Linked DNA regions of Sus scrofa. The protein of the gene in region 2 binds, or shares a complex with, the protein of the main gene of each other region. Links are inferred from orthologs where the notes say so. Each region holds a gene or a part of one and is shown on either strand. Other genes may lie near its edges.

Region 1 (4,346 bases), on a different chromosome or scaffold from region 2:
CAGGGAATGAAAACTGTGTCAGAGATGGTGGTCGCGTGGTTCGAGGGAGGCCGCTTTCTCTGTCCTACAGAACAATACCGAATTAGTATCTTCCTAGCGAACGCGGGAGCAAGCCGTGCTGTTGGCGGTATTGCATAAGATTGGACCCAGATTTTATTTCCGGTAACATGGACTTGCGAGGGCCATGAATTTGTAGCTCTTTGATATGGTTGCCGCCTCTGAGCCAACAGGCTAAAGGGAGTGGAAGGAGGTAGAGCTTTATGAAAGGCTTTTCCTTTCACTGGCGACCTTGGAGGCGGTGGGGAAGTTGGCTTGAACTTCTCAGATACTGACTAATCCCTGGACATACTCCCTGTAGCCCTACAATAAAAAGATTTCTTCCCTCCTTTGAGACCCACTGCATGGGGTCAAGTAGCCTCCATCCAACCTGAGTGTATGTCAGGCACCAGGCTGGGAGTTGCACTGAGCTTATCACAGTTTAGTAGTGAAGGGGAAGACTCAACTTTTTATTTTTTTTTTTTTTGTCTTTTTGCCTTTTCTAGGGCTGCTCCTGTGGCATGTGGCGATTCCAAGGCTAGGGGTCTAAATCGGAGCTGTAGCCACTGGCCTACACCAGAACCCTCACAACGCGGGATCCGAGCTGCGTCTGTGACCCACACCACAGCTCACGGCAATGCCGGATCCTTGACCCACTGAGCAAGGCCAGGGATCGAACCCGCAATCTCATGGTTCCTAGTCGGATTGGTTAACCACTGTGCCATGACGGGAACCCTGGAAGACTCAACTTATGATGTGATACAAAGAGCATGGGGAGTGTTGCTTCCTCCATCAGCTTAAGCTGGGGAATGGGAAGGACCAGGGCGGGGGAAAGTGGTCACGTGTGTGGGTTGTGGGTGGGATATCAAGCAAACTACTTGCTGGTGCATTGACATTCTTGCCTTTGATTACCATAAACAATTTGCCAAAGAAAAAGTCCAACCTGAATTAGCTTAAAAAAAAAAAAGAATTGTACCTAGGAAAAAGTTTCTTGTAATTGGATGTCTAGAAATTAAAGTGACGTGAGGCATGAGAAGAACTCAAATGTCAGCATAGCTATAGTCTCCTGTGTACAGCGGCTGTGTGATTTACGCGTGCAGATGGATTTCCTCCATGCTGTGGGGGAGGGCAGGCTTGCATCATCCCCTTTAATGTCCCCAGAGGAAAGAGGCTTTTTTTTTTTTTTTTGAATTTTTTTTTTTTTTTGGTCTTTTGTCTTTTTGTTGTTGTTGTTGTTGTTGTTGTTGCTACTTCTTGGGCTGCTCCCGCGGCATATGGAGGTTCCCAGGCTAGGGGTTGAATCGGAGCTGTAGCCACCGGCCTACGCCAGAGCCACAGCAACATGGGATCCGAGCCGCGTCTGCAACCTACACCACAGCTCACGGCAACGCCGGATCGTTAACCCACTGAGCAAGGGCAGGGACCGAACCCGCAACCTCATGGTTCCTAGTCGGATTCGTTAACCACTGCGCCACGATGGGAACTCCGGAAAGAGGCTTTTTGACTCATTGCCTGTTTAAAAAATGTGTGTGTGATACATATGTATATATATATACACACACCTCCATCCCAGAGAAAGATTCTAACTGGTCTGCCTTGGGTCCTATGCTCCTTCCAGGGTGACTTGACTGTTGCCTAAGGGCTGAGGCATGATAATCAGCCAGATGTAGGTCACATGCGTCCTAGTCAGGGCGATGGGTTCCTGTGATCGTCAGCTCCACCACTATGTAGTCACCAGATGAAAGACTACTGGACACAAACCAATGTCCACTGCAGTTATCAGCTCCCCAGACTGGCCATTTAACAACACAGTGGAATGAGAGCCTGGAACACTGCAGGAATGTGCTTTGAAGGGGAAAGAGAGGTAGTTTTGCTTCCCATTTATGCAGAGGAAGCTCTTCAGGGCCTCTCAACAGGGGGTTTATTCTCTTCAGCAGGACTTGGGGTTCAGAGCTAGGCAATTTAGGAGGAAGTGATACTTCCCAAAACCCTGATTTTTCTGCTCAGAGCAAACGGAAAGAGGGTGTATTCACAAAGCCTGCCCAGAGTGGCCTGGATACACGTAAAAAGCCTGTGTTCAGTTGGCGATGGAGCACCTTTCCCCTTGGTTCCGGTTATGAGCTGCTGTTAGATGTCAGAAGCCCTTGTGTTACCATGAAACCCTTCTATGGATTCTGCTCCCTTAAATCGGTTTGCCTACCTTCTCCTCCCCTCTTCCCTCTCCTCGCCCTGGCCTTGCTTCTCGAATCTACCCCACCCGCTCAGAATCCCCACGGGGTCTCACACCTGCGACACAGCACATAGCCTTGGGCCATTTCCTCCCACTTGCTCACCTGTCCTTTCTTAGAGACAGCCCAACAATGGGGTCTCCCGGAGGAGCCATCCTCCTCCTCAAGGCAGAGACTTCATGATTTGGAGAGATTGCAAGTAATTAAAAATGTCTTCCATCCATCACAAGAAGAACAGAGCTCCATGGCTGTGGTTGCAGAAAAGCCTGGAGCCTTTGGAGGCAGATGGCAGATTGATCCCAGCTGTTTTGAATTTGGCTGTCCACCCGGGTCATGGCCATGGACTTGGAGTGGGGCTTAAGGACTGTCCTGCTGGTGACAGTGTCAGGATCGTGTGTAGCTTCTCAGTCCTAGGGCTTTTCTTTTCCTTTTTTCTTTTTTTTATGGCTGCACTGGGGCACATGGAAGTTCCTGGGCCAGGGCTTGGATCGCGGCTGCAGCTGGGGCCTATGCTACAGCCACCGCAACAGACACAATGTCAGGTCCTTAACCCGCTGAGCCACAGTGGGAGCTCCTCTGGGGAACTCCTCTTTTGAGAGCTGCATGAAAGGTAAAAATCACTTCCTTGACATCTTTGCCCCTCAGTGGGCTTTTTGTCTTGTTTTTCCCGGCAGAGCAACAGGGGAGAAAAAAAGTGAAGGCAGTGACATCTGGGCAATACTGGAAGAAGCGAGGCAGAAATCGGTCTTGTTTCCTCAGATCTGAACCTCTCCATCCTGGGTTCGGACTGCCTTCCAGATAGTAATTTGTTCAATATGCACATTTTGTTGGGTGAGTAGAAATGCACATAAAGCTCTGGTATTTATTTATATCGCCTCTGACTCTCCTTGCCAGGAATCTGGTGAGTAATGTGTGATGTTGATGAGCATGGGTCACTCCTGTTAACAACGGCTCAGGTGTCTTGAGTGAGGACTTACCCCAGGCCAGACATCAGCTCCCATGGTAGGGGCCTCCTTTCATCTGCTACTCTCCCTTTGGGGAGTGTATTTTTATATATTATCTCATGTGGCGTTCAATATTATCACCATTCCGTTTTACAGATGAACAGGAGCTCCCATTGTGGCTCAGGCGGCTTAAGAACCGGATACAGTGTCCACGAAGATTTGGGTTCAATCCCTGGCCTTGATCAGTGGGTTAAGGATCCGGCTTTGTCACAAGCTCCAGCATAGGTCACAGATGTGACTTGGATCCAGTGTCGCTGTGGCTGCAGCTCTGACTTGATCCCTAGCCTGGGACCTTCCCTATGCTGCAGGTGTGGCCTTAGAAAGACAAACAGATGAACCAACTGAGGCTCAGAGAGGGAAGGGTGCCCTGGACCCAGCAGCTTGCAAGTGACAGGGCCAGGATTTGGCCCACGGTCCCGATTCCTAGCTGGGTGCTGACAGGAAGTGGCAAGACTATAGAGATGAACAGGAGCTGCTTCTACTCTTGGGGAGTCACAGCCCAGTGCAGAGGAAAGGCCTGCGATGGGTCATTCATTCATTCATGAAATGCTTACTGTGTGCTGGGTTTGTGCCAGGGTTGGGGGATATCTGAAGGCTTAAGACTCGGTACTTTCTGTTTAGGCCCTTGCCTTTAAATAGCTTTAAAATGTAATATACAGAAGTCCCCGGGGATACCTTCAAAGCACCCTCCGCCCCCGCAGATGCCAAAACCGCGGGTAGGACGGAACCCTGCGGTAATCCCCCGCTTATCTGCGATTTCCTCTCCTGGTTTGTTATCCAACAGACCCCAGAAAAAACCTCCACATAACTTGGTTTTAAACCACAGTGTACGCGGCTAGAGTGGAGGAGATATTTGATTACAGTCCAGTGCGATGCGTATACCCTCTCTTGAATGCCGCGCGCGCCGCAGCGCGTGTGTAGAAGAGGCGAGGACGAGGTGGCCCTGAGCAGGGTCCCGGGGGCGCCTCCAGGCATGGAAGGCTGTGGGGAGACGGTCCGGGGGAACAGGAGGCATCCTGGCCTGACTGCCCCAGAAGCCGGAGCAGGCGGTCCCTGTCGCCGGGGCAGGGAGCTCATC
Region 2 (3,552 bases):
CACTAATGTAATACAACAGTTGTTTGGCCTGTCTCTTTGTGAGTGGGTTCAAGAAGAGGGTGAGGAGGTGTTTAATATGTTATCATGTGGAAAACCATGTAACTTTTTTGAGGGTAGAGGGTGGAGTGCGTATTTGGATAATTCTTGGTCTTCAGTAAATTGGATGCTGCCTTTGTATCTAGTGCTTATATACAACATCTGTACATTCATTAATTTAGAACCAGCTTATGCTGTATTAATTATTGTGCATCGACTTCCATTCTCTCCGCAATTCACTACTTGTTTGTAATAGTACCATGTAGTTATTGAGTGATAGGAGATTAAAGTAAGTAAGTTCATTTTTATCTCAAAAAGTTTGAAATAGCTGACTAAAAGAATATTTTCTGTCTTGCATTGTTAACCTTACAAGTTGGCAATATTTATTGCTACTGTTGGGAGATGATGGATGAGAAGCGGAGAATTAAAGTCATGTGCATTACTGAGAAATATTCACTTATATCTTTTAAAAATTCTTTCATTAAAAGCGGTACTTGCCTTTAATATTATACAATTACATTTTTGTGCAAAGTTCTATTTTTCAGCACTAATACAGAATTATATATGTGATCGATGATCATATCATCTGTACTGAATAGTTAGTTCAAAATTCTCAAAGTTCTTTTAGTTTTTGCACTGTTCTTTTCCTCAGCAGATACTTTACAGATTAAAATGTCAAAAATTATTGTCCTTATCTGCTTTGGCGTCTCAGTTTTTAGTTTCCCAGCGCACCATCCAGCTTTGACAGTCCTCTCCCCGCTCCATTCAGATTCTTGCTAACTCTTCAAGAGAACTTTGATGATGCTTTCAAAAAAGTTTTCTGTAGCTCTTGACTCCAGCAGAGACACTCAGCATATCCACTTGTAACTCTTGGGGCCCAAGTCAATGAGGATTACTGTGGCTAAAGTAGCCAAATTTTGTGTGGGTGTGTTCACAGGATATAGCGCAGCTTGCTCCTCACTTGTTCTGAGTGAAGTCATGGCCCACTCCTTTGAGAGCCATTAGCTGCTGCAGATCAGCAGATTGGCTCTTCAGATAGAGCAACCCGGAGTTCCCGTCGTGGCACAGTGGTTAACGAATCCGACTAGGAACCATGAGGTTGTGGGTTCGGTCCCTGACCTTGCTCAGTGGGTTAAGGATCTGGCGTTGCCATGAGCTGTGATGTAGGCTGCAGACACGGCTTGGATCCCACATTGCTATGGCTCTGGTGTAGGCCGGCGGCTACAGCTCTGATTAGACCCCTATCCTGGGAATGGCTCTAGAAAAGGCAAAAACAAACAAAAAAACAAAAACACAGCAACCTGAATCTAAGGTAAAAGAACTGTGTACTCTGAAAGCATTTTTCTCAAATGCTGATGGGGGCATTCATAAATGAAGTACAGTTCAATATATTGCACATCTGTGGTCAACGGGCGTTTTCATCGCTAAACTTTGTGAGGTATTTTGAAACAATTTTTCATATACAGGTCAATTTGTGTTAAGAGGGCTTGATAGCGTTTGGGTTATATTAACCTCATATGTGGCACATGTTCTAATTTAGTCACATTTTCATTATTTTTATTATAAGGCCTGCTGAAAATGACTGAATATAAACTTGTGGTAGTTGGAGCTGGTGGCGTAGGCAAGAGTGCCTTGACAATACAGCTAATTCAGAATCACTTTGTGGATGAATATGATCCTACGATAGAGGTAAATCTTGTTTTACTGTTATGCATATTGACTTGTGCAGGCCCATCCTTTGGGTACAAAAAAGGTTTCTCTGGTCATTTTCTAAAACTACGCATTACAAGACAGTTATTCTGATAATACCTAAGTTATCTGCAATGCACTTGGGTTTCAAGGCTTTACTCTGATGTTATATGTAACCACAGACATGGAGAGCCCAGTGTTGAGTCTTCAGTCTTCTCTGGGGAGAATAATACCATCTGCAATGTTCACTCTGAGCTAGTATATGTGCATTTTGATTGAAAGTGTACTTGTGAGTTTAGCAGAGGGTGAAAATGTGAACTTACATCCTATTTGTAAAAAGAGACATATCTAACAGTTATTTTCCTAAAAATGTGGCTATTGTCCGTATGGGGTTTTGGTGTTTTGGGGGTATATTTTGATGTCACATGTTGAATTGATGGGTACTGGTAAAGTGGAATCATTTGATGATGGAATTAAAAACACTTAATTAGTAGTATTTTCAAGTTTTCTCTTCACATTGAAGTACTGGAGAACCTGCAGCTACCTGTGTGTTTTAGAAAAGCTCATTCTTTTATGTATGTGTATGTTGGGTGATGTATAAGGGTAGGTACCACACTAGTCCTTACCTTTCCTGTGCAGTCCTTTTTCAGTGTACTGAAGGAAATATTAGAATTGTTTTTATTACAAATCAATTACTGTAATTTTCAGGCTTTTTCAGTTTCATGAGAATGTACCAAAAGCAAGGCCAACAGCATAATGATAGAATAAAGGCCTGGCAGAGATCTTGAGAGGTCAAATGATCTCAAGCAGATAGGGATTTATTTAATCCTAGAGACCTGCAAGGAGGGAACGGCACCTAACTGTGTTAACTAATTTCCGAAATGTAATTAGCATATTTTATGCATAATGTGAATCTTCCTGTTAAGTTTAACATAGCATCAGTTTGTCTTTGAAATAGATTTATGCTGTTAAATTATTTCCAAAAACTTCTTTACCCCAGCTTAAGTAATCCTAATTAATCCCTTACTTTTTATTCTAGATCTGATATACCAGTTTTTTAAATCAGCTCTGAAAAATGTCCCAGAATTTTCTCTGAGTCTCAAGCTACAGATTGTAGAACAGGTCAGAATGCCCTGTTAGGATGTTGTATAAAGTCTTCAAGAAACACCTTGACCACACTGAGGTAGATTCAAAGGGCATGGTTAGCCTTTTAAGACGTTTATGCAGGGTAGAACTTTGAGGATTGATTAGATAACTGCTCATAAGGAAATGTCAAATATTTTTGGTACTGCAGGGGAAGAAAATGGAAAATAACCCGTATTTGCAAAGATCTGATTTAAACATAGAAACAGCTTTTATTTGGCTTCCAGGTTTAATAATTTGCAGTAGCAAATGGAAAGAGTCTAACTAAGTGGACCACATATGTAATAGTCTCTATATTTCTTCTTGGCAAGTCACTTCAGTGCTGATGGTTTTATTTTTTTCCTTTGAGGAAGATTAAATAGTTCACCTATTTCTTGTCTTTTCTTCTTTTTTTTTTTTTTTTTTTTTTTTTTTTTTTTTTTTTTTTTTTTTTTGGCATTTCTAGGGCCACACCTGTGGCATATGGAGGTTCCCAGGCTAGGGGTCTAATCGGAGGTGTAGCCGCCAGCCTAAGCCACAGCCACCACAACTCGGGATCCAAGCCACGTCTGCAACGTACACCTCAGCTCATGGCAACACCGGATCCTTAACCCACTGAGCCAGGCCAGGCCAGGGATCGAACCCACAACCTCATGGTTCCTAGTCGGGTTCGTTAACCACTGCACCACAACAGGAACTCCTATT
Region 3 (4,013 bases), on a different chromosome or scaffold from region 2:
AGCTTACCACCCTGGTGGGTGGTACCTCAACCCCAAGTACAGAGCAGGAAACGCCTGACTTGAAACAGCCGGGGAAGCCCAAAGCAACGACCGCCCGTGTCAGCAGCCCAGCAGACCCGTGGCAGAGGAAACCATTGCTGCCGGGCATCCTGCCTTAAACGCCAGGAATTGCAAGTCACATGTTGCCTCGGTCTTAACGTGAAGTCCAGGGCAGTTTTGCTTCCTGTCCTCCTTCACACCCCACCTTTGAATGCTGCTCAAAACACTGAAAATTTTCTGAAACATGAAGCTAGTAAAGACAGGACACCCGAGCATAATCTTCACGGCTCTCAAGCCCATCAGCTGTGAAGCCTGAGTGGGGCCAGAATAAGACCACGTGAAACCACACCCCACCCTCCTCTATTCGCCTGCCACTATGCTCCTTCTCAAGGCTGTCCGCCCTCTGAGCATTGCTTCTAGCCCCAGATGAAGAATTCCTTCCTTCTTTGCATGAGGGTGTTTGCCCAAGCGTTTCGTTCCTCACACCCCCTTCAGTTGGGATGTGATGAAGGATCCATCCGGCAATAAAGAGTAACTCGCTTGATCCCACCTGATACTTTCAAATCTCAATGGAAAAAAAAAAAAAGTTTTATTTATGGAAGCAGTGTTTCTCCAAAGACCCAGCATTCTCCACACACTGTACATGAAGTCATGGGCACAAAGCACACCTTTGCCTCCTCATGGGCTGTGGAAAGGAGGTGACAATGGGAAATCTGCCATCCCCGCCACCATAGGAAGCAGATTTGGAATGTCAGGCCCCCCGAGCATTCCAGGTACTTGGTACAGGAACGGAGTAGGACCAGGGATGTCAGCATCAACAGGAGAAAGACAGGGAGAGGAAGGGGTGCCATCCGGGCAAAATGGCTCTTGTCTAACACTGGGCTATTTTCTGGTCCTGTAATTCTGTGCTACGTTCTGCCACTCCATCCCCACTCTATTTGCCAAGTACCTCAAGATGTTTCCAAGAGGTTCTGAATTATTGACAAACCTAGGGAGATATTTGGAAAACAGACCAGTACTGCTACTGCAAACACTTGGTCACTGTAGTTTCCTTTTTTAAGGTTAAAAGAGATGATAGGAGGAAAGGGGGGGGAGGGAAAGCCTGCCTCTGCTAAATAATGATATTCACAGAACACAGACACTGCAAGCCCAAAGTTCACAGTCTCTCCAGCTTTACTCACCCCTAGCCATCTTGCTCCTTTATTGGCAGCCTGTTGAATCTGGACTCTTTTGAGGGTGACATGGTAAACAGCTCCTTCCTCTACCTCTTCACCCCAGTCCTGAATCGAGCTCTGCCAGGGGGTGGGACAAAAAGAAAGAAAAAGAGTATTTTTTTTTTTTTTCCTCTCTGCTAACCGCAATCTATCCCAGCTGCTTACAACAGCACTCGGGACATAAAAGATGGGGCTGTTCAAAAAATATGTATATATATCACAATCAGAGCAACACAGGACACATTGCAACAGAGGGAATGCGGGGATTTTCTTGGCCCCCAGCCCTTTCCTGCGGTATCAGGAGTCCCGGACTTTCCCATTTAGTTATTTTTCCTAGACTTGCTCACATATCTTAAATGGTTTTTTAAAAAGTCTTCTCTTTCCCCCTTCTTAAAGAAACGGTGGTTTAGTCCTGATTAACTTTTCCTCCTTAAGTGCGAGGAAAAATAAGTCATTCGCAGGAAAAGTTTGCCCTTTTCTAAGTGGCTCCGTTATTTGAGCAAACTACATTTTAAACACTGCCAAAACAAGTGTTTAAAATGCCAAGAGTGCTCGCTCCTTTGGAGTGAAATGCTTTGCATGTCCTTTTTTTTTTTTTTTTTTTTTTTTTTTTTTTTTTTCTCCTCTCATTGTTTGGGAACCCAAAAAGTTAGCGGGAGGTAGAAAGTTTTTATTTCTGTCAGATCATCTGGCAAGTGCAGAAAAGGCACACATCAAGTCTGTGCAGCGGGACCCCCTGGGTTTCCCTGTCCCCAGCTAAACTTGAAGTTTGTGTTTAAAGAGCCGCCGGGACGCAGAAGTGCCCGCGGTTCACGCAGACGCACAGTCCTCCTGGCTTAAAAGTTTTCCTTTGCTAACACACATCTGCCCCAGACACACCAAAGGCAACTGCTGAGAAAGTTTGGTTTAAAGGGAGAAGACACGCAGAGAGGAAGGCGTAGGAAGCCGAGGGAGAAAGCCTGACCTCCCAAGTAAGGGATCGGATTGCTCCGTGCACTCCGAGCAAGTCCAAAACCCGCCCAGAGAAAGCGGGAGAAGATTCCCCACCAGAGCCGCCTCGGAGAAGGCAGAGAGTTCGCGTTACCATTTTAGCTTGCCAAAGCAATTTCATTCTCAGTTTTCTCTCCGGTGTGTGGACGCGGCATGGTGCGCCCTGCTTCCAGGCAAACGCAGTCCCCGCCCGGCTCTGCCGCGGCGCCTCCGGCCCCAGCCCCGAGCGGCCGCGGCGCACCGAACACAGACACGCGCCCGCCGCCCCGCCGCCGCCGCCGCCGCCGCCGCCGGTGCGCGCAGCTCGGCCACAAAGGGAGCGCAGCGAGCGAGCGAGCGAGCGAGGGCGCCGCAGACTCCTCCCCACGCCACTCCGCCGCTCCGTGATGTCAGGCTTTCCTGTTTGTGCTGCGGAGCACACGCTCCCTCTCGGAAATCCCATGGATAAAGTTAGCGTGCGGTATTTCTCCAGTTCTGAAGGTGATCGGCAGACAACCACCCTTTCAAGTGGATCGGGTTTGCCTGATTGGCCACAGACCAGGTGCCTAAAACGACCCGGGTGTGGTCTGTGGGATCCAAGCGTGTTTCTCCTTCCTTAGCGCGAAGAAATAAAGGGGGAGGGGGAGATGCAAAAAGGATGGGAGGAGGGGATCATTAAAACGTCTAATTATCCGCCGGTTACCTATTGAATGAGATTCCATCAGAGCGACCCCATGAGAACGGCAATACTGGAAGCCCAGAAGTGTTTCATTCGAACAAAAACAGAACTGGTCAGAAGGTATTCCAAAACCCATACCCAAAGGCTGTCCCCTGTCCCGCATCAGCACACTACCAACAGGAAGTTGCCCTGGACTTCTTTCTTCCACCCAATGAAGAGGCTCATCCAACAGCAACTGGTCATTGTGGGAGGGAAAGGGACAAAGCAGGAGAGGGTTTTGCTGAGACTGACAGCGAGGAAAGTGGGCCCCCGACGTTCTGTGAGTCTTTGGGAGCAGTCACCAGGGGTTGAGTTGTCTGTACTGCTGGGACACAGTGGGATAGTACCTCGGGGAAGAGCCATTCATGACGAGCCCGCCAGGAGGAGTTTTGTCATCACATTAAGTAAATCAGCAGCCCCATACCAGATGGTAATGCAGTTAAACTTTGGCACCTAACAGAATTTCATGTCAATTGCAAAGACGTCTAGGGCGCCTGTCTTTTATACTACTCACCCCTAAATGAATTTAATCGCCTTTCAATTTCTTTTTCTAAAGAAAGTCCTCTCATTAATGGCCATGCTAAGGCATAAGGCTGGCTTTGGTGAAGAATATATTATGAACCGAAAAGCTAGAGAATCAAATATGCTGATGTTCCCAGGAGAGCAAAATAAATAAGAGTGAGGGTGCATCAAGGAAAAATAAAAAGATCTTTGAACCGTTGAGAACATCCTGAAGTCACTCAGCAAAGTTCCTTCCCCTCATACAACCAGAACCTAGAGAGCTCAGTAACTGTGGAGAGAAGGGATGCTCTTTTTATAAAACCCGAAGGGGTTGCTTCCAGTTTTTGAAAAACTCACGTAGACTAGATGCTTCTGTGATCACCAGTTTAGAGTGTTCCCAGTGTCCAGAGCAAAATCGTGTGGAAACCTACCTCTATGCTTCTTAAGCCATCCTCAGTCCCCCGGCCCACCCCTATTCAGTGATCTTGAAGAATACAAGATGCACCTGGGGACAGTTAAGCAACCCATAAGGTCAATTTCACCACTACTTTAACCTAATTTTTGGCTGTAAA

The links.
Region 1: the proteins of KRAS (region 2) and PLA2G16 are in contact, whole or in part, in a crystal structure (PDB 7C41), measured with the Homo sapiens proteins. The link is inferred for Sus scrofa from reciprocal best matches to the Homo sapiens genes KRAS and PLAAT3. Residues at the interface, in NP_001356715.1 of Homo sapiens: Ala11, Gly13, Lys16, Ser17, Tyr32, Asp33, Pro34, Thr35, Ile36, Thr58, Ala59, Gly60, Gln61, Asn85, Asn86, Lys88, Asp92, Tyr96, Lys117; in NP_001121675.1 of Homo sapiens: Leu65, Tyr66, Asp67, Val68, Ala69, Gly70, Ser71, Asp72, Lys73, Tyr74.
Region 3: the proteins of KRAS (region 2) and RGL1 are in contact, whole or in part, in a crystal structure (PDB 7SCX), measured with the Homo sapiens proteins. The link is inferred for Sus scrofa from reciprocal best matches to the Homo sapiens genes KRAS and RGL1. Residues at the interface, in NP_001356715.1 of Homo sapiens: Ile24, Gln25, Glu31, Asp33, Pro34, Thr35, Ile36, Glu37, Asp38, Ser39, Tyr40, Arg41, Leu56, Tyr64, Met67; in NP_001284600.1 of Homo sapiens: Ile651, Arg653, Asn660, Gly661, Asn662, Met663, Tyr664, Lys665, Ser666, Ile667, Met668, Lys685, Asn687.

Annotation. Positions count from the first base shown.
Region 1 is NC_010444.4:8,409,004-8,413,349, forward strand, and holds the start of PLA2G16 (HRAS-like suppressor 3), read left to right. Parts: upstream 1-1,536; 5' UTR 1,537-4,346. UniProt on the Homo sapiens protein: Exhibits both phospholipase A1/2 and acyltransferase activities. Shows phospholipase A1 (PLA1) and A2 (PLA2) activity, catalyzing the calcium-independent release of fatty acids from the sn-1 or sn-2 position of glycerophospholipids.
Region 2 is NC_010447.5:48,511,771-48,515,322, forward strand, and holds part of KRAS (GTPase KRas), read left to right. Parts: intron 1-1,603; 5' UTR 1,604-1,614; coding exon 1,615-1,725; intron 1,726-3,552. UniProt on the Homo sapiens protein: Ras proteins bind GDP/GTP and possess intrinsic GTPase activity. Plays an important role in the regulation of cell proliferation.
Region 3 is NC_010451.4:125,004,677-125,008,689, reverse strand, and holds the start of RGL1 (ral guanine nucleotide dissociation stimulator-like 1), read right to left. Parts: upstream 2,811-4,013; 5' UTR 2,686-2,810; coding exon 2,338-2,685; intron 1,332-2,337; coding exon 1,221-1,331; intron 1-1,220. UniProt on the Homo sapiens protein: Probable guanine nucleotide exchange factor.